Saccharomyces cerevisiae S288C: one gene and its partner. The protein of the gene in region 1 interacts with the protein of each later gene in a pairwise test. Each region holds a gene or a part of one and is shown on either strand. Other genes may lie near its edges.

Region 1 (11,095 bases):
GTGCGATAGTTTACCTTTTACGAGCTTTAACCTGGCGTTATTTTCTCCCACACTACTGTAAACATAAAACTCTCTTATGCTTTAACGAGTATGCTGAGGAATTGTTTGAGGAAATTGGGAAATCATCAAACGAAATGTTCGGTAAAAACGTTACACACCCCAATCTATAGAACAAAAAACCTTCAGGTTCTCAGAGATACGCTCTCTGGTATTAAGCTGTTGGAAAAAATAATAACTTCATCCTCCTACAATAAAACATTGATATATGAACCTAAGTATAAATCCAAGCCACAGGTCGTTAGTTCTCATGATACCATGAGACTTCACAATGTAATGCGTGAGTTACTAGATTCCCTACAAGTAGATGAAGCTACCAACACACGACTTCAATCAAACAGGCCTCGAAAGCTGGGGAGGGTTGGTCTACAATTATTCATGGATTGCATTCAGGACAACTTAACAGCAACTTCAACATCTTTGACATGCTCTTTACTGGAGCACTATTTCAAGTATCCCGAAAAAGAAGTGACCAATGGGATCAAGGCCGGATTACGATATATCAGAGATTTTCTTGCGAAGAACAAGATTATAGTGAAAAGTCAAAACGATGTTGATGCTCTGGTCGAGCAATTGACTATGTCCTCCTCAGACAGCCAAAGCATCAAAAGGGTTTTGAAAGCCATTAATTATGAATTGTTTTCGGATGACATTGTGCGGGTCATAAACGGCAACAAAACTTACGATGAGGTTGATGTATCCAAGGGTTGGAAATATCCAGCTGGTATTTTAGATAGTAATGAAGCCTATTTAAGGTCCCTGGAGTTGCCTACTAAGAAATTAGTTTCCATTGATAAAGATATGCTAGTTCTTATGTATGATGGGACGTTACGAGACGCTAATAAAATTCTACCCACGATAACGTATGCAAGAAAGTTGAGAAAATCTGTTCTCTTAATCGTTAACGGAGATTGCACAGGTGATGCATTAACATCCGTTACAATTAACAATAACAGAAACAAGAGAGAAAATAATGAAAGCCGAATAGTGGTTTTGAAGTACTCTAAAAAGGCGAACAATGACTTAGCGCCACAGGAGAATCTTGATTTTATAAAGTTCTTACGGTTGCCTTGCGGATATGACAGCATCTACTCACCAGAATATAGTCCTTTAGTGCCAAGCAAAATGTGTGCGGATAAATATTACGGCAGTATCGAATCCATAAAAGCGACCACAGGGGAGGCATTCTTATATAACTCCATTGATGCTGAAGCGATTCCAAATAAAGTTCCGAAATCCTTCCTCCAAAATACGGTCACTTTAAGCATTGGTGGACATAACGAAATCGAAATCGACAGAAGAAGAAATGCAATAGATAATTGCTTAAATAACGTCCTATGTCATGGGCTGGCCAAAGGTTTCATCCCAGGTTACGGCATCTCCCTACTGAAGGCAATTCCAGGTTTGAATGAACTGAAAGCAAATGAACCCAATTTCATGACTAAGGTAGGCATCAATGCTGTTTTATCAGCAGTTATTCTCCCATCAGAAGTGGCGTTTAAGAATGCATATGGGTACAACTATTATGAGATCAATAGCCTGATAGCAGGCGCTATAAACGAAAAATCGTTTCCAATGGCCAAGTTTTCTCCAAATTCAGAACCGGTGAACACAGTAAAGGATGGAAACTTGGAGCCATGGAGCAAAATGGATTCTTGTTTAGCCGGTGTAGAAACGTTCATTGAATTACTTACAAGCTGTAATACAATTATCACATGTGTATACAAAAAGCCTGAACGGCACAAAGCCTAGATAAAGCCCTTACATACTTTTAAATAGTCAGAATGAGTCATTGTAAATAGATATTGCCACGGCGCTGCCTTTTATCACTTTTACCTCTTCGTAAATATCTATTATTCCTGCTCAATTTCTCATATGCGGCTTCGGAAAAACTCGGGTTTTTCCACGCCTCAGCAGTAACTCCATCTACCTTTGGGGATTTGAACCATCTCATTCCAGTTTTGGATAACTGCGATTAGATTAAAATATTAAAAGATTATCGATTAGATAAGATAGAAACCAACAAAATTTGTTGTAATAGCTGTGTCCTTGTATCCTTAAAAGAAAACAGGGTTGAAGGCATATGTATTCACATCTTTCTAACTTGTTAACGTCTATGCTAGGACCGAAGTCAGAAAGCGATAAACATGCAAGCCCAAGGTTCACAATCGAATGTAGGGTCTTTGAGGAGTAATTGCTCTGACAATTCACTACCGAACAATCATGTTATGATGCACTGCGATGAAAGCAGCGGCAGCCCGCACAGCGAGCACAACGATTATAGTTACGAAAAGACCAATCTGGAAAGTACGGCATCAAATAGTCGTGAACACAGAGACAACCAGCTAAGTAGGTTGAAGAGTGAGGAATACGTTGTTCCAAAGAATCAACGTAGGGGACTATTGCCTCAACTCGCCATTATACCGGAGTTCAAGGATGCCAGAGATTATCCACCGATGATGAAAAAGATGATTGTCTTCTTGATTGCGTTTTCCTCCATGATGGGCCCCATGGGCACATCTATCATTTTTCCAGCGATCAACTCAATCACAACAGAATTTAAAACATCAGTGATTATGGTAAACGTTTCAATTGGTGTGTACCTTTTAAGTCTTGGTGTTTTCCCATTGTGGTGGTCTTCTCTATCCGAGCTAGAGGGCAGAAGAACTACTTACATAACTTCATTTGCATTATTGTTTGCATTTAATATCGGGTCTGCTCTAGCTCCTGATATCAACTCATTTATTGCCTTGAGAATGCTCTGTGGGGCTGCTTCTGCCAGTGTTCAAAGTGTAGGTGCTGGAACAGTGGCTGATTTATATATTAGCGAAGATAGAGGTAAAAATTTGAGTTATTACTATTTGGGTCCACTACTGGCGCCGCTACTATCTCCAATTTTTGGATCTTTGTTAGTGAATCGCTGGCCCTGGAGATCCACTCAATGGTTTATGGTTATTTTATCCGGATGTAATGTCATTCTTTTGACGGTGTTACTACCTGAAACATTAAGAAAACAAGATTCTAAAGGCGCTATCGCTCAAATTTTGGCTGAAAGACGTATTCAAGTAGACAATAACGAACGTGGAGAGATACAAGAAGATTATCAGAGGGGAGAAGATGAGACAGATCGAATTGAAAACCAAGTTGCCACATTATCTACTGAGAAGCATAACTACGTTGGAGAGGTAAGGGATCAAGACTCGCTAGATTTAGAAAGTCACTCTAGCCCCAATACTTATGATGGTCGAGCTGGAGAAACCCAATTGCAACGGATTTATACAGAGGCGAGTAGAAGTCTGTATGAATATCAGCTAGATGATAGCGGTATCGATGCAACAACAGCACAAGTTACGAGAATAAGATCAACAGATCCAAAGTTAGCGAGATCGATTCGAGAAAATAGTCTGAGAAAATTACAAACCAACCTGGAAGAGCAAGTCAAAAAAGTGCTATCCAGTAATGGAGGTGAAATCGCTCCTAAACAGGTATCAGCGGTGAGGAAGGTCTGGGACACCTTTTTTGTTTATTTTATCAAGCCTTTAAAATCATTGCACTTCCTAGAATATCCACCCGTGGCACTTGCAATAACATTTTCCGCAATTTCCTTTTCCACAGTATACTTTGTTAATATGACAGTTGAATATAAATATTCAAGGCCTCCTTACAACTTTAAACCATTATACATTGGTCTACTGTATATTCCGAATTCTGTAACATACTTTTTCGCCTCAATTTACGGTGGACGTTGGGTGGACATGCTTTTAAAAAGATACAAAGAGAAATATGGAATTCTTGCTCCTGAAGCTCGTATATCGTGGAATGTTGTTACATCTGTAATATCTTTCCCCATTGCGCTATTGATATTTGGCTGGTGCCTAGATAAAAAATGCCACTGGGTAACGCCACTAATTGGAACAGCCCTCTTTGGATATGCAGCTATGATGACAATTGGTGCTACCCTTTCCTATTTAGTCGATTCATTGCCGGGAAAGGGTGCCACCGGTGTTGCTTTGAATAATTTAATAAGGCAAATCTTGGCTGCAACCGCAGTCTTTGTCACCACACCCATGTTAAACGGTATGGGAACTGGGTGGGCTTTCACAATGCTGGCCTTTATCGTCTTGGGTGCTAGCAGTGTACTTATAATACTGAAAAAGCACGGTGATTACTGGAGAGAGAACTACGATTTACAAAAATTGTACGACAAAATTGATTAATCATATCGGTTAATAAGACGGAAGCGTAAATATTTTCATTGTAGACTTTTCATAGGGTGGCACATACATAGTTTACTTTAGTTTATGGTAAATCGTTATTGTGCTAAAAGTATTATTAAATAATGTTCAACAACATCTCAAGAGGCGAAAAACTCATCAGAAAAAGAAATATAAACGCGAAAGATCATTAATGAACACTAGCCAACAAAAAAAAAGGATATATCAGGTCCACTGGTATTGAGATTGCTAGCGAGGTCAATAAGCTGATGCTGCATCAAAAAATAGCTCATAAAGTTCGAAAAGTCGTCGTCCCAGGTATTTCCTTATTGATTTTCTTCCAGGGATGCCTTATTCTTTTGTTTCTCCAACTCACCTATAAGACTCTTTACTGTAGAAATGATATAAGGAAACAAATTGGTCTCAATAAAACCAAAAGATTATTTATTGTCTTGGTATCATCCATTTTGCATGTTGTCGCACCATCTGCAGTGAGAATTACCACTGAAAATTCCAGTGTTCCTAAAGGTACTTTTTTTTTAGACTTGAAGAAGAAAAGGATTCTTTCTCATCTAAAGTCCAATTCGGTGGCCATTTGCAATCACCAAATATACACGGATTGGATATTTTTATGGTGGTTGGCTTACACATCGAACTTAGGGGCTAATGTCTTCATTATTTTAAAAAAATCGTTGGCTTCCATTCCTATCCTCGGTTTCGGTATGAGAAACTATAATTTCATTTTTATGAGTAGAAAGTGGGCACAAGACAAAATAACCCTAAGCAACAGCCTTGCTGGCCTTGATTCGAATGCAAGGGGCGCCGGCTCACTTGCTGGAAAGTCACCTGAGCGCATAACTGAGGAAGGAGAGAGCATATGGAATCCGGAGGTTATTGATCCAAAACAAATCCATTGGCCATACAATCTTATCCTATTCCCTGAAGGTACAAATCTCAGTGCTGATACTAGGCAAAAAAGTGCTAAATATGCTGCCAAAATAGGCAAAAAGCCATTCAAGAATGTGCTACTGCCTCATTCTACAGGCCTAAGATACTCGTTACAAAAGTTGAAGCCAAGTATTGAAAGTCTTTATGATATTACGATCGGCTACTCCGGTGTAAAACAGGAGGAATATGGTGAGCTTATATATGGGCTGAAGAGCATATTTTTAGAAGGAAAATACCCGAAGTTAGTCGATATTCACATCAGAGCATTTGATGTTAAAGATATTCCATTAGAGGACGAGAATGAATTTTCAGAATGGCTGTATAAAATTTGGAGTGAGAAGGATGCTCTAATGGAAAGGTACTATTCCACTGGATCATTCGTAAGTGATCCTGAAACAAACCATTCAGTTACCGATAGTTTCAAGATCAATCGTATTGAGTTAACTGAAGTGCTAATATTACCAACTCTAACAATAATTTGGTTAGTTTATAAACTTTATTGTTTTATTTTTTGAATTTAAATAATCCTTTCCATATGTTATTAGGTACATATATAGATAGATATAAAACTTTTTTTGATTCTTTATCAATATTACGTTTACATACGTACTCTCGTGCAAGGAAAAATACTTTATCCTAATTCAGGAACATCAAATCATAATTTAATTGTTTGTGCATCGATGGCTTCCCAATCAGCAGCGGTCAAGACTTCATAGCGCTTGTAATTCTTGAGCCAAAAAATAGTGTCATTTCCATCCAAACCCTTTGGTAATTTTTGCTCTCTATAAACCTTCTTCAAAATTTTATGATTATCTGTCATTTTAATTTCATCAACAAATTTAACAAATAGGGGCATAGCATAAGACGGTAGATTTAACCGGCTCAAGGAATCATTTAATAATTTGGTCTTTGCAGTGATGTCAAGAGAGTTGTCAGTTAGTTTAATAACTGCAAAACCAGCTCTACCTTCATATTTAGGTACTTTAATACCAACAACTAGAACTTGTGCATATTGTTCTTTGTTACTGGCCGTCAACTGATCTTCTACTTCAGTAGTGGAAACATTTTCAGATTTCCATCTGAAAGTATCACCCATTCTATCAAGGAAATACCATAATCCATATTCGTCCGCTTTTAATAAATCTCCACATCTATACCAAGCATCGCCACGTCTGAAGACATCCCTCACAACTTTGGACTTTGTTTCCTTGGCATTACCAAGATAACCTTGAAAAGATGTTTCTGGTTTTTTAGGGAAAAAGATTCTCATTAACATTTCTCCTGGTTCGCCAACAGGGGCCACTTCGCAGAAACCCTTGGAATTTCTATATATAACGGAATCGTCATTTGGGTCCATCCTTACCAATGTTTGTTGGAATGACAAAAACCATTGAATTATAGTACCATAGTTCCTACATGCGCCAATTCCAAAGTCACCTTTCTGGAAGGTAGTTGTAGCAAAAGGAGCTTCAGTTGCGGCATAGAATTCACCAATAACTTCTATGTTGAACCTCTTCCTGAAGTCCTGCCAGATGTCAGGTCTCAGCCCGTTACCATAAGCAACCTTCACCTTATGCATCTTTTCATACTTAGAAATTGGCGTATGTAACAGGTATCTACAGACTTCTCCGACATATTGGATGTGCGTGGCTCCTGTTAAATAAACTTGCTTCCAAAATGTACTGGCAGAAAATTTATGCGATAACGCAAGGCAACCACCGTGAGATAGAATGGCGCACGCACCTAATAAGGCAGCAGTTGAATGGAACAATGGCATGGCTGTGAACACAGTGCTTTCATTAGTCATATGTAAAACATGACCAAAAACTTGACAACCTACGGAGGATTTTCTCCAAGACATAATAGCGGATTTAGGCAAACCAGTGGTTCCAGATGTATAAATTAACATAGAGGGTTTAAAATCGGTCAAGCCTAGTGGTGTCCTAACGTTGTCTTGTTGTAAGAATTCCGGTGATTGCGAATTTAAAAGTTCATGCATTAAGTCTTGTTCTTCAAGATAGTTTAATTTAACATCAGGAAGTGCGTTTTTGATTTCTTCTTCCGATTCTCTGATCGGATTACTGGCATCAGGGTCAATAAATACCTGCGTAATATTGGAAATCTTTAGGGAGTGAACCAGCGGAGTGCCTTTAGTATTATAGTTTAAAAAAGCTGGAATAGCCCCAATGTTCCACAAAGAAAGCCATAAAAATACGAAAAGAGGTTTATTAGTACAATCGATTGCCACGTAGTCACCGGCCTGAACGTTATAATCAAAATGCAAAATATGAGACAATCTCAACACTATGTTATAAGTTTCAATATACGTAAAGGTTTCGAGTTGAAATTCTCCCTTTTCGGCCATGGGACGGGTGTAACTAATCGCTAAATGGTCACCATTTTGTTGGACCTGTTTAATAAATAAGTACCAGTTTTGAAACCTATGTCTTCTCACATCAATGATATAACAAAACACGCTTTTCAAAAAGTAAGGAATAATATACCAATCCTCCTTGTATCTATATTTACGGTCTAATTCATCAAAATAATTACCAAATAGATAACCCAGTGATTTCTGGATAGGGGTTATAATTAGCTTGATAAGTCTGAATAATAGCAGGAAAATCCTTGACAAGGCAAAGACAACAACCTGTATGGGAGACATAGTCGGTATTCGCAGCCTATTAAAAGTTCAACGATATAGAATTTGAATGATTTGGGCTTTTCAATTTAGTTTACGACTTTAAGGTCCTTATTTTTTTTGCTATAACATTAGTATTTATAAAAAATTTCTGGAGCTTTGTTACATTGCGCGAAAAACCCGCGTTCTATCTTTTTAGTCGCTCATCAAGGTGACAGTAAATAAAACAGACGGTAATGATTAGAGTTTAGGTAAGCTCATATTTTCTCTGTTGTTACTTAATTATCGAACGTTAAATTTTTTAAGTAGTTCATCACATTATATAATGTTAATCGTGAATTATATAAATTTTTTCTCCTTTTACTTTTAAAAATTGACATTCTGAAATATCCGCTCAAAACTTATATGTTTATTTGAGGATAAAACTAAACTTTGGAATGCAATGTAGATGAATCCGAAGAGTAGTTATTGTACCTATTTTGGGCACATGGAACATTATCAATTTCATCTTTCAAGCTTTTCCTATCCCTTAAAAATATTAACCATAAAACCACACTGTCTAAAAGGAGGAATGCAAAGCTAAACCAAGCCATTACTGCTGCCTTCTTGCCCTTCTTGACAGTGATTATATTCATACTTGATGATGGAACCAATCTGTAACTTGCATTTATCCCTACATGAGTCCACATCGCACCAATACCCCATGTCAAAACTATAGTTGAACTTAGCAACAGTAGAAATTTATTAACCGCTAGTTTGAATGGTAACTTAGGGACAGTTACATACAGAATAAATAGAAACATTAGGATTGTTAGGATTACAGTTGCCATCAAGACATATGGATGTATAACATTAACCGAAGTTAATTGGGCTAACTTCAAAATGTTCAAGACAACGCTTGATTGGGTTTTGGAGCTGGAAGATGCAATATTTGAGAGTTGAATTTCCAAGTCTCTGTATAAGGGAACCGAGCTTAAATTCTTTCTTGCATAGCAAATTGAATTGGAGAATGTAGTCATATTATTGTAAGAGCTATATTGGGAGGGAATGTTATCAATACAAACACCCATGTAACCGGATCTTATAATGACTTCCTCCAAGCCCAGAGTTGTATTTGATTTTTCATATGATTTCTCTATGATCGTATAAAAAGGTGAGTTGTCATCAAATTTATACTTCACTAGAAATGTTGACTGATTTGACGGGTTGTAACAGCCGATGAGAAGAAAAATCAAAAGAAATATTGAAATTAAATTAAAAGCTAATGCAAATATTCTGGGCATACGCTTGGTAAAAAACCAAATCATTGAGATTGCGACCATTTTTTTTTTTTTTTTTTTGTTTGTTTGTTTGTTTGTTTACTATAATTTCTTCTACCAAAGACAAGCAAGAACCTGAGATAAAAAACATTTAACAGACATTTTACAAATATATACCAATGTCTTTGTTATTTCAACAGCACTATATATTGTTTTCATTTTCTTGGTTCGTTTCATTGCTACTTAGCCATATTTTTTTTAACTGACACATACATGAAACCATCATAATCTTAATGGGAAAAAATCCTAAAGCGAGAAGGACTTTCAAAAAAAAAAAGTTTTAAAAATGTTATAATTTTTGTATTTTACCTGAATATATAGTAGTGTTTAGTATTTATTATCTTTCCTTTTCTATTTAAGGTATTCTTTGGATATATACTTCGTCTCATCAAGTCAAAATTCGTTTCATGTTCTACAAAAACAACGTCAAATAAAGAGGCAATGCAGGGTGATTTTTTTATCATCCCAAAGAGGAAGCACCAGTAATAATATCAACCAGTTCATTAGTAATGACAGCTTGTCTTGTTCTGTTGTACAAGATAGAGTAACGATTGATCATATCACCGGCATTCTTGGAAGCGTTATCCATAGCGTTTCTTCTGGCGGAAATTTCAGCAGCATAACCTTGAGCCATTGCTGTCAACATTTGGTTAGCCAAAGTATATTCAAACAAATCTCTTGGAACGTTTGCGTCCGTGTCGATCTCAAATTTGCCGAATGATGGGGATTGTTCAATGGTCTTGGCGTTAAAGATCGGTTTTTCAGATGGTTCAAAAGATAGGGAAGACACTGGGTCATTGTAGAAAATGGAAATCTTTGGGTAAGTGCCGGCCTTCATGACACTCAATAACTTATCGGCAATCAAAGCAGATTCTTGGAAAGTTGGGGCATCTTTACCAATTCCATTAATAGACAATTTAATGTTGTTAGGATGGGTTCTCAATAGCTGCATTTTAATTTTATCACCAATAGTGACTATATCGGCGTTTGGTTGATCATTCAAATGTCTTCTCACAGCTTTAGCCAATTGAGAGTGGATAGAACCACACAACCCCTTATCAGAGGTGATAGCAACAATCAACTCTTTAGGAGCACCTGTTTCAGTAGCCTCAACATCCAAATTTTTGGTTTCGGCGTTCTTGTAAAACAACTGCTCTGCTTCATCCATCTTCTTTGCGGAAATTTTAGCCTTTTCAGCTTTACTCAATCTTGTAGATGCAACAATCTTCATAGTTTTTGTGATCTTCTCAATATTTTTGATAGATTTCAAACGCATTTCCACTTCTTTCAAAGTAGCATAAGTTCTCACTGGGTTAGTCTTATAAAGAATACCCACTTGCGCTTGGTGGCACATTACGGAGCGTGTTGCATTGTTTGATACAATTCTTGACAACATGACTACTAAATAAAATAATGTTTACTGCTCGTCTTCAATTGTTTCCACCTGAAATTAACCAAAACGGTTCAGTCTCAATAGTTTCTTATTTGTCTTTTTTAACTGAGTGATAATCATTTAAGCATCTCCCTTCCGGGCCTTCTTTAATCGTTATTGCGGTCCGGGTTCCTCGCGTAGTTACTCGCCGCTCATTGGTTCTCCATCACGTGATAAACATTTCTTCCAAATAAATGAGAACGTTCATTAAATATCGAATAATTCACTTATTATATCTCCATCATATACTTACTAGTTCTAGCGACAGCTCCTATTCATATATCTTCTTACTTTTTTTTTGTTTTATCGACAATTGCTCTACGTTTCGACGTCTAGAAAATGTACTAAAACAGTGCGCTCTCTACCCATAAGGATGAAGAATACGTAATAACAAGAGTTTATTCTCCTTAGTATGTATTTGATAGCACACTCAGAAAGATGAGTTACTACTTGGAAAATCTCAAAAGCTCTTGATGCCCAGCTC
Region 2 (10,933 bases), on another chromosome or scaffold:
GGAGGGAAATCGGACTTTTCCCAAATTAGAAACAATGAAAAATTAAGTGTGAGCTCTTAGAGTCGCATCTGCAGGAATATGCACACAAAAAGGGGAGCTGTACGTAAATAATCAGACCACACAAACTATTGCCAACCATTTGATACTCACGCTAGATATGATGGGGGTTCTTGTTTGGACAACACAAGTCTCAGAGCCAGCGTAGATATGCTTGTACATAAATGACGACTGGGGCATCAATTGAATCGGGTTACATTGTGCGAGCTATTACATGAAGAGAATATGCCTTTAGGGTAATTTCCAAATGTAGGAAGTCTCGCTAAGTAGGGCGCCCAAATCTGTATAGCGATGTTGTTGAGGCCATATAGTAAAATGACGTGCCAATTACCGAGCTTTTGATGGAGGTAAAATCTAAGATTAATCTTGCGCCTTGAAACCACTAGAAATGAAAGGAATTGGTGAAAAAATAATCGCGCAATAGATGACATGGAACGACAGAAGTCTTGTATTGTGCACGAATCCGCAATATTCAAAGCCGAAGTTCATATACGAATGCGAACTATTTCTTAGGGTAGCTCTCTGTATGGGCCGCCATAAATTAGTACCAAAAGATAGGTTTTTGAAAAGGCTACAATGTGCTTTTTTCCTTCTTGCTTTCGAGTCCGGTGAACAGAATATTACGACGTCCTTGTATTAAGAGCCAGACCTCCTGTTAGCGTCACTATAAGAGTAAGTCTGAAATACGCAACAACTACAGTGCAATGAAAAAGTGCTCAACTCAATGACAATAAACAATTTAACCATGGCAGGTTAAAATATTACTGCGATCAGTAAAAATGGGGATATCACCTTTTGACACATAACATAGCAATAAAGTAACAGATCATTAGTGATCGGACAACCTGAACCAACGATATAATGTCGAAGCCACCACTACCTTTAAGATTAGTAGCGCTGCAGGGGGAGACAATGAGAGAAATTTCCCGCCACATGAACTGAGTCAGGAGTTTTTTTTTTCTTGCTGGAGAATCATTTAATTTCATGGTTAAACTCCTCTATAAGCATCCCATTCTCCCATGCCTGAAAACACTTTTGTCCATTCGATCCTCATGCAGCCCTCGTTAATATGCTAAAATGGCTCATTAAATTGTAGATTGTATCGTTCGAGAAACGTCAGGCATGATAGATGTTGCAATCACAGGACATTGATTATTTAATCCTGCTCTCAACATGTTCAATAAGTTGAAGAGTTGCTGATCTCCCCGTATATCTTATGAACCAAAGCATGGTGGGTGAATGTTATGGTTATCCTTGTTGAAAAATGATTGATAGACTGGATTGAGCGGAAAAACATGGGTCAATATGCTGATCTTGACATTTTTCAAAATCCACGGGGGATCAAATCAACTTCTTATAGCGTATGACCTCTTTTACATTGTTTAATGATGTTAAGATTGCGATATTATAGTCAGTTAAGTTACTCAAACGCACAGATTTAATAGAAAACTGCGTCTTCGTTGCCTAGTCGATCATAATAAATTCGCAGATTATTTCGAATTTGATCTCCTTCGAAATCAAGTTTATTCTCTTCACAACAAAAAATGCTTTTAACTTGAACAAAACTCGTAAACTATTTCCCCACTGTTGCTTCGGGACGACCCAGTTATTCAATATCTTGCAATGCTAATTTTTTTTGGGAGAGCAGTTGCAAATATTGCAAACACATCTAAAGCGTACCCACAATTTATGACTTCCTGGAGCCCAGAACAGCCCAAAAAAAAAAAGATGCGTTCTTTTTATACCAATATATTAGATACGTAAACTCTACTCATATTGCAGGTATGCCCACATCTGGATATTGACTTTGCCAATATTCCCGCACAGCATGGGCTTGAATTTCGGCTGCTTTAAAGAGGCACCACTTTACGGTTGGTTCAACATCAGAATTTTGAGTTGCAGCCTGATTTTCTGGAACACTGATGAACGGCTGTGTATTCGCTGTATCCCACTGTACATCAGGATATTTTCCCTTTATGAGATCCTTGAAAAATTCATAGCACTGGTGTTCACAAAAAAAGTGGTATGGTGTTTTCCATAAGCCAGCCTTGAACAAATATTGATTCATGTTATACGTTATGGTTTTCCATTCTTTCCCAGCTATCGATGGTCTATGAGTTATTACCTCTAGTAGAAGTTTTGTACGGAATGTTTCATTACTTATTGGTCTACTGAATGACCATATCTGAAGGACTACCATAGAGCCACCTAAACATATCCGGATCACCATGGCAGGGGAGAGAACACCAGAAAACCAAATGTTTGTTAAAGTCGCCAAAATCGTCAAGACAAAAAGGAGGAAATTGATCATTATATACTTGGCGCGTACAATTTCGTAAAGCAAATAACTCTGGTATGATGCAAACTCATCCTCTGGAAGGACGATATCAGCTGAGATTAAAGGACTTTCAGGGTTGTCAGGAGATCCTTCCCTCAATGGGATTGCTTTAGGATCGTCCGTGACATGAGTGTTTTTTTTAAATAAGATTGCATGTTTAACAAACGATTTAACTTGCTTTTGCTTACAAGTCAAGTAAACCTTATCCTGATAGCTTAGGAAAAATAGACTTGAATGTGTCGAACATTTCAAACCTCAATTGGTATTTTCCTTTTTTTCAACTGTACGTACATAGCTTTTCGCTTTCTTTAGCGCCCCCAGATGAAAGTATATATCGTAACAAGGATGGGAACATGAAAGGTACTGAAAAAACATCTGTATTTATTAAAAGTAAATCAAAAGCAGACTGGGAAGTTCTGTCGTAGGGATTTTTTTTTTAATGTTATGTGTGTAGGATTATTCTATTTCCTTGAATTTCTCGATCGAGATTTTTCGTACCTGTGTATTTTTGGATATAAGAGTGTTTCTGATCTATTGAGTGAGCAGGTCTCCAGCGGAATATAGAGTAGATTGAATATGGAAGAGGACTACATTAAGGCTTATTGTTAGTTAGTTACTGTTAGGACGCTTCGGCGAGCTGATGTCTGACTTCTCGTTGTATCAAAGAGCTCCCAATACGCCAGCGCATTTAAACTATGATCACGGAATGCTGGATTAGTAGTATAGCAAAAGTAACACTTGTCCACCGCAGACTCCATCACTTAGTCAACACCTTGGGTGTTTTACCGCTGATAATGGCCGTAAAATCGCCAGATATATATCATCATTGTTCTTCGCGAATAATACGTAACACAGTCTCTTTTCGAAATTTAGATGAGGACCATAGGCATGACTTATTTACTGAGATGTCCCTGCGTTAAAACTTTTACTGGCCGATTGCTAACTTTATATTTGTTAATAAAACTATTCACGCCTGTGTCCTAATTGTTGGATAATACCTAAACAATAACGATGTTGTATAGCTAAGAGGACGACCAGACAAAAAGTTATAAACTTTACCCTCGTTGAAAATGGGGCAGCCACCTATGAATCACTTCCCATTACAATGCCGAATAGCAAAATATGTAGTAGAACACGTACACGCATGATAATTACTTCCATGCTGTACTTATTTTTTGGGTGTCTCTTCAGAAAGAATGCTTTATATAACCATGTGTTTGAATTAGCGATCAGCTAATAACAAGTCAGTGTCCAAATAGTTAAAACATTGTGACCCAAATATCACAAATAAGTGGTTGTTTGGCCGAGCGGTCTAAGGCGCCTGATTCAAGAAATATCTTGACCGCAGTGAACTGTGGGAATACTCAGGTATCGTAAGATGCAAGAGTTCGAATCTCTTAGCAACCATTATTTTTTCTTTTTCCTCCTATACTTCATAATCTACGTAGGAATGAAAGTACCAACATTATACCAATGAGGGTGTGTTTCGTGGATGCATATACTCTGAAGATAAAAACAAACTCAAGTCCGCTTCCTACGGTTTGAGTATTTCTTACCACTACATAATAAAGAATATTACGTTAACTGTAAAATCAAGTAGACTTGGAAAATACAACGAGAACACTTTCCTGATTCTGCATCAGCGTTTTCTTATCACCAGCTGTACTTCTACATTAGCTAACTCTCCTTTCTATAAAGGGCGTCTTTCACTTCACTTGTGCCATGTTACAAAGCTCCAAACGCACTTCTAACTGAGTACAATGCACGATCCCACTGACAGACAAAACAGCTTCACAGAATTTGATCATGCCATCGTAAAAACCACGTAGTAAGGAATAAAAAATCCCGAAGTCGATCATACTATGTAGAGATGTACATGAATAGTCTAGGAATCTGGTCTTCCAGCATGTTGCTTTGGTCTGCTTCAAGCGCTATGGAAGCGCTCGCCATGAGATATGCTGTTTCAAGGCAAAATAGCAAAGCTCTTTGTAAAGAAATACAATTCAGAGAAGAAGCTACAGCATTTTGTTTCTGGATGATCCCTGCAGGTTCATACTACTAAGTAAATCTTGAACAGTTCAAATTTCAACAATTCAGAAACCGCTCTTTTTATATATACTCTACCAAACGAGATGAAACAGCATTTTTTTACTCTTATAAGGTACCAATATTTTGACGTATGCTTTCTTTAACGTTCACGATCGGGCTGGGCCATTAAACTTACCTTAGATATTATTTGGAACAGCACCGCAAGTGCTGATGTCCCAGAAATGGGCGCCGGTTCAATTAGGTCGTGAAGTCAGACATATGGAGACTCTCGGACTGAAAGCACTAAGGGATGATAGCTGGCATGCCAATTCCATTTTAAATTTACACATCAAGTTACAGGGTTTGGGAAAATCACGTTCAAAGCCTGAAAATTTGAGGTTGTTCACGGAAATCATTTGGTTATGTCTGTCGGCCTGCTATTTAGAGACATTTTTTATTGCAACAACCTACTCTATGCACTTACACGGAATCGCAGAATAACGCGCGCACAACACAATTGGGAAACGATAGGATTTTGAATAGTGTATTGCTTTGTACCGATTTAAATAATTCTTTCTCGTGTTGAATCCGAGTTGAAGATGAGTATGCTTTGAAGAGGTGAAATATCATCAGTAAAAAAAAATAACGACAACTGCAGGACTCGAACCTGCGCGGGCAAAGCCCAAAAGATTTCTAATCTTTCGCCTTAACCACTCGGCCAAGTTGCCAAAATTGTATGTTATTTGTTGTATCTCAAAATGAGATATGTCAGTATGACAATACGTCACCCTGAACGTTCATAAAACACATATGAAACAACCTTATAACAAAACGAACAACATGAGACAAAACCCGACCTTCCCTAGCTGAACTACCCAAAGTATAAATGCCTGAACAATTAGTTTAGATCCGAGATTCCGCGCTTCCACCACTTAGTATGATTCATATTTTATATAATATATAAGATAAGTAACATTCCGTGAATTAATCTGATAAACTGTTTTGACAACTGGTTACTTCCCTAAGACTGTTTATATTAGGATTGTCAAGACACTCCGGTATTACTCGAGCCCGTAATACAACATTATTTTCAGTGATAAAATATGTAAACCAATTATAAGAAAAAGGATTGCGTTGCATCACAACTGTAAACCATTAATTAAAAAGAGCAATTGCTATTTAGATTTGTTGCTGAGAATTGGCTAAAAAATCTGATAATTGTAGGACTTCTATTATTGCTAGGGGCAATGTGTTGGAATGCAATTCTGTTGGAATAAAAATCCACTATCGTCTATCAACTAATAGTTATATTATCAATATATTATCATATACGGTGTAGAGATGATGGCATAAGGTATGAAAAGCTGTCATCGAAGTTAGAGGAAGCTGAAGTGTAAGGATTGATAATGCAATAGGATAATGAAACATATAAAACGGAATGAGGAATAATCGTAAGATTGGTATATAGAAATATAGACTCCATTATGGGGATTCCTAGACCCTCGAGGAGAACCTTCAAGTATATTCTGTATACCTAATATTATAGCCTTTATCAACAATGGAATCCCAACAATTATCTCAAAATTCCCCCAATTCTCAACATCCGACTGCCATGCAATGTGCTTTTCTGGATCTCACTCATGATCATAATGGCCCTGTAAAAGGCTCGCACTATTATTATTATATCTTCACTATATATTATTTCGGAGGCTGTACCTATCAGTGAAAAAACGCCTCTAAAAATGAAAAAAAAAAAGAATATGAAAGGGGTTCTGAATTGCTAAAATATTTCGTCAAAGCTCAATTAGTATCATGATCAAGTCGTAATTCGAATCAGCATAACAACCTCCAAAACCATATAATAACCTTACACAAGACAAGATATCAATTCAACATGCAAACCCCTTCAGAAAATACCGACGTCAAGTTGGATACTCTCGACGAACCCAGTGCACATTTAATCGAGGAAAATGTGGCTCTTCCAGAGGATACATTCAATTCGTACTGGAGTTATATACTTAATGAAATCGCTCGTTGTAAACCGCTAATGATTATGTTCCTAATACCTGTGTGTTTGGTTTTATTGATTACGTTTTTTCATGATATCAAAGGTATCCTTGTGTTTTTAGTGATTTCTCTTATCCTCTCTATTATCATTTTATTGATCGGTATAACTGCCTTCGTGTCTGAGACCTTGAATAAGGGTTTCATAATTAAGCTTTTAGTAGAAGTCATTACACGTAAACCAGCAGTAGGGGGGAAGGAATGGAGAATAATCGCATATAATATGAACCAGTATCTGTTTGACCATGGGATATGGCATACTCCGTATTACTTTTTTTGTGAACATAGGTGCCATAAATTTTTCAAAAGCCTTATCAAACAGACAAGGTCGAATGCACATTTGAGTTCACCAACGAACGGTGCAGAGAATACGCAGTCAAACACACCAGCAAAAGAGGTTTCAAATGAGATGGTAAAACCTTATATCTTTAGTTCTGATCCAGTTTTAGAAGCTTACCTTATTAAAGCTGCGGAAATTCACAAAGAAGCTGAATTTGAGTATTGGAGAAAGCAATACCCAGAGGTTGATTTGCCTTAGGGCCGAATTTTTGGTATTTATCTAGTATATTCTAATATAAAATGTACGAGCATCATTAACTTCAAGAACATTACGAAGCCCGCAATTAAGTGTCAGTCCATCTGGGTGTAAAAGTTATGTACGCTCGAAACAAATTTTATGTAGTTTACTTTAGATGCAAATGCTATTATATATTTTGCTTTATGATCCTCGGCTTGATGCTCGCCAACGTGAGATAGCTGGTCATCACAATAGATCAGCCGGGACGCTTTTCGATCACATCGAATCCCTTCGGGACGTTGCAACAATACGTGAAAAATGCCTCAAAAATAATAAATACAATGGTGAACAACGTTAAAAAAGCATAAAACAGCTGGCTATTTTGATCAGGATAACATCTATAAGTGCCATATTAAGGCAAGATATCAATTGACCATGCAAACACCTTCAGAAAATACCGACGTAAAGATGGATACTCTCGACGAACCCAGTGCACATTTAATCGAAGAGAATGTAGCTCTTCCCGAAGACACATTCAGTTCACATCTGAGTTATGTACTTTATGAAATTGCTCATTGTAAACCGATCATGTTTATGATCATCATAATCGTGAGTTTGATCTCATTGATTGTGCTTTTTCATGATAACGACGGGTGCACTGTGATCTTAGTGATGTCCCTTATAGTAGCCTCCATGGCTTTAATGGTGGTTGCAGCATTCACATTCGGGAAAGCGATCACTGAACAGGAGTTCATGATAAAGCTTTTAGTGGAGGTGATCGCACGCAAGCCTGCGGGGAAGGAATGGGGTACTGTCGCATATAATATGAACCAATATCTATTCATGAAGAGACTATGGTATACCCCGTACTATTTCTATAGCGGCAAGAAGTGCCATGAGTTCTTCACCACTCTTATCAAGGAAGTGAATTCTGGTTCGCACTCGGATTCCTCATCGAATAGTGCCGAGGATACACAATCACCTGTCTCAGCAGGGAAGACTTCAAATGGTCTAAACAACTTTTATAGTATTAGATCAGACCCTATTTTGATGGCATATGTTTTGAAGGCAACACAAATAGAAAAGGAGGCTCAAAGTGAATACTGGAGAAAGCAATATCCTGACGCTGATTTACCTTGAAGCGGAAGCATTTTATTCACCAAGTATACTTACTTTTCTTTAAAACGAGAACAAGAATCGAATTCAAGAACATCTCGAAGCCAGAATTGAGCATCATATATTCGAGCTGTACAAACATCATGGCCTACAACTATCGTATTTGTAAGTTTTTTTAGAGGTTTTCATATTTGTTTAATAAGGGTTCTGTCAGTTTTTGTCACATTCTATTGTTGCGCTTCGCATAATGCAGCCAAGAAAATCCAAACAATAGAAAAAGAAAAAAAGGATCTCAAAAAGGGTTTGGTGTTGTAGTTATAAGAATAACTAGTGAATAAAAAAGCTGTTGTTTGGTCCGTATTACATTCGTCAAAAATTTAGTACTCAAATCGTGTATGCAATCGCAACCACAAAATAAAAATATTAGACTGGATGTGTTGAGTGGAGATGGTGCCAATTTAGTTGAGGGAAATGTGGTCCTTCCCAAAGACATGTTCAATTCGTACTTAAGTTATTCACTTTACGTGTTACGAGGGGGCTCATTGTAAGCCGATAATGATTATGTTCCTGGCATCTGTAATTTTGATTTCACTGACTAATTTCCGAGTATACCATCTCATGTCCCTTCTATCCTCTTTTTTCATCTCCGGGACAGACCGACAATAAAGCATCTAATATTAGGCTTTCGTTAGAGGTAAGCACACGCCAGCGTTCGGTGAAAGGGGAATGAAACATTATCACGTACAAGATGAATAAATATCTATTTGACCATAAAATATGGAGTACTCCTTACTACTTTTATTGCGAAGAAGATTGCCACCGTCTTTTTCTAAGTTTTATTGAGGGAAGAACTTTCGAGAAGCCAACAAGCAACGCTGAGGAAAATGTACAGGAGACTGAAGCTGGCGAATCTTTCACATTAAATCCCGGAGAAGATTTTCAAAATTGCTTTCCAAGACAGCGGATATTGTAGAACAATCTCAAGTGAAGTATTGGCAAGATATTGGTGCAATTATTTGAAAGGAAGGAGAAATATTCTGACAGTACCTTGCTAGCAAAGGGATTTACCAATCCACTGACGCTAAAATGGGGTAGTAAATTAGATAAATTGCATTCTAACGTGACTTTATATAGTGGGAAACAGATATGTAGCACACAAAACGGCATGATTATGCTTAATTGATTCCTATTTTTTAACGTAAATACTCTCCCAGAACGATCAGAAAACTTAACCCGCAACCATCTTTGCTGTGCTAACAACTTATGTCGCCTCAATACCATTTTTATTTTGTATCATTCCGGAACTTAGTATTGAATGAAAAATGCCTCCGAAGTAAAAAGCAGGTGATGAAAAGTTTCAATTGGTATAAGACAGATCGCTATTTTGATCCGCATAACATCCTTCAACACCATAGCAGAGCTATAGAGAAGACAAGATATAAACTGGGCATGCAAACATCTTCAGAAAGTACCGACGCCAAGTCGGATTTTCTCGACGAACCCAGTGCATATTTAATTGAGAAAAATGTGGCTCTTCCCAAGGACATATTCGGTTCGTACTTAAGTTATTGGATATATGAAGTTACTCGTCATAAAGCGGCAGTAATTTTGCTCGTACTTATTGTGACTTCAATTTTATTATTAGTGTTTTTTTATAATACGGAATTTTGCGTTGCCTTTGAGATACTATTGTTTTCCTTTTGCTTTCCAGGAACATGCATGGTTGTAATTGCATTTAGTGAACCGATCGGTGATCGGGAATTTAAAGTTAAGCTTCTGATGGAAATTATCACACGTAAACCGGCGGTAAAGGGGAAAGAATGGAGGACAATTACATACAAGATGAACCAGTATTTATTTGATCATGGGCTATGGGATACTCCCTACTACTTTTACCGTGATGAAGATTGCCACCGTTATTTTCTAAGTCTTATTAAGGGAAGAACTTTCAAGAAGCAAAAGGAATCGTCAGCCAGCAATGTTAAAGACGCACAATCAAATGACGAAACCGCTGGCACACCAAACGAAGCCGCTGAGTCTTCTAGTTTTAGTGCCGGACCGAACTTTATAAAGCTCCTCACCAAGGCAGCCGAAATCGAACAACAATTTCAAAAGGAATATTGGCGACAAGAGTATCCTGGTGTCGATGAGTTTTTTTAGACAGAAGACGGGAGACACTAGCACACAACTTTACCAGGCAAGGTATTTGACGCTAGCATGTGTCCAATTCAGTGTCATTTATGATTTTTTGTAGTAGGATATAAATATATACAGCGCTCCAAATAGTGCGGTTGCCCCAAAAACACCACGGAACCTCATCTGTTCTCGTACTTTGTTGTGACAAAGTAGCTCACTGCCTTATTATCACATTTTCATTATGCAACGCTTCGGAAAATACGATGTTGAAAATGCCTCTAGAGATGAAAAACAATCGTAAAAGGGTCCTGCGTAATTGAAACATTTGATCAGTATGCAGTGGCACAGAAACAACCAGGAATACTATAGTCATAGGCAATACAAGGTATATATTGGCTATGCAGACCCCTCCAGAAAGTACCGACGTCAAGTTAGATACACTTAACGAACCTAGTGCACATTTAATTGAGAAAAATGTGGCTCTTCCTAAGGACATATTCCGTTCGTACTTGAGTTATTGGATCTATGAAATCGCTCGCTATACACCAGTCATGATTTTGTCCCTGGTAATAGGGGTTTTGGTTTTATTAATTATATTTTTTAATGACAACGAAGCTTGTGTTTTCAATTCTGCAATATTTGCTTTTACTTCTCTTGTAGGTTTGTTAATAATATTA

What was found.
Region 2: the proteins of CST26 (region 1) and UIP3 interact in a two-hybrid assay, tested with the Saccharomyces cerevisiae proteins (one large-scale study listed by BioGRID).

The regions. Positions count from the first base shown.
Region 1 is NC_001134.8:315,055-326,149, reverse strand, and holds CST26 (putative acyltransferase), read left to right. Parts: upstream 1-4,540; coding exon 4,541-5,734; downstream 5,735-11,095. Other genes in the region: TCM62 (Tcm62p), read left to right, coding at 91-1,809; QDR3 (Qdr3p), read left to right, coding at 2,205-4,274; long-chain fatty acid transporter FAT1, read right to left, coding at 5,875-7,884; FIG1 (Fig1p), read right to left, coding at 8,286-9,182; ATP3 (F1F0 ATP synthase subunit gamma), read right to left, coding at 9,640-10,575. UniProt on the Saccharomyces cerevisiae protein: Acyltransferase with lysophosphatidic acid acyltransferase (LPAAT) activity. Fatty acyl substrates include 18:0-acyl-CoA, 16:0-acyl-CoA, 17:0-acyl-CoA and 14:0-acyl-CoA.
Region 2 is NC_001133.9:177,453-188,385, forward strand, and holds UIP3 (DUP240 family protein UIP3), read left to right. Parts: upstream 1-6,317; coding exon 6,318-7,025; downstream 7,026-10,933. Other genes in the region: DFP1 (DUP240 family protein), read right to left, coding at 1,829-2,368; KTD1 (DUP240 family protein), read left to right, coding at 7,440-8,144; DFP2 (DUP240 family protein), read left to right, coding at 8,869-9,093; pheromone-regulated DUP240 family protein PRM9, read left to right, coding at 9,384-10,280; DUP240 family protein MST28, read left to right, coding at 10,655-10,933.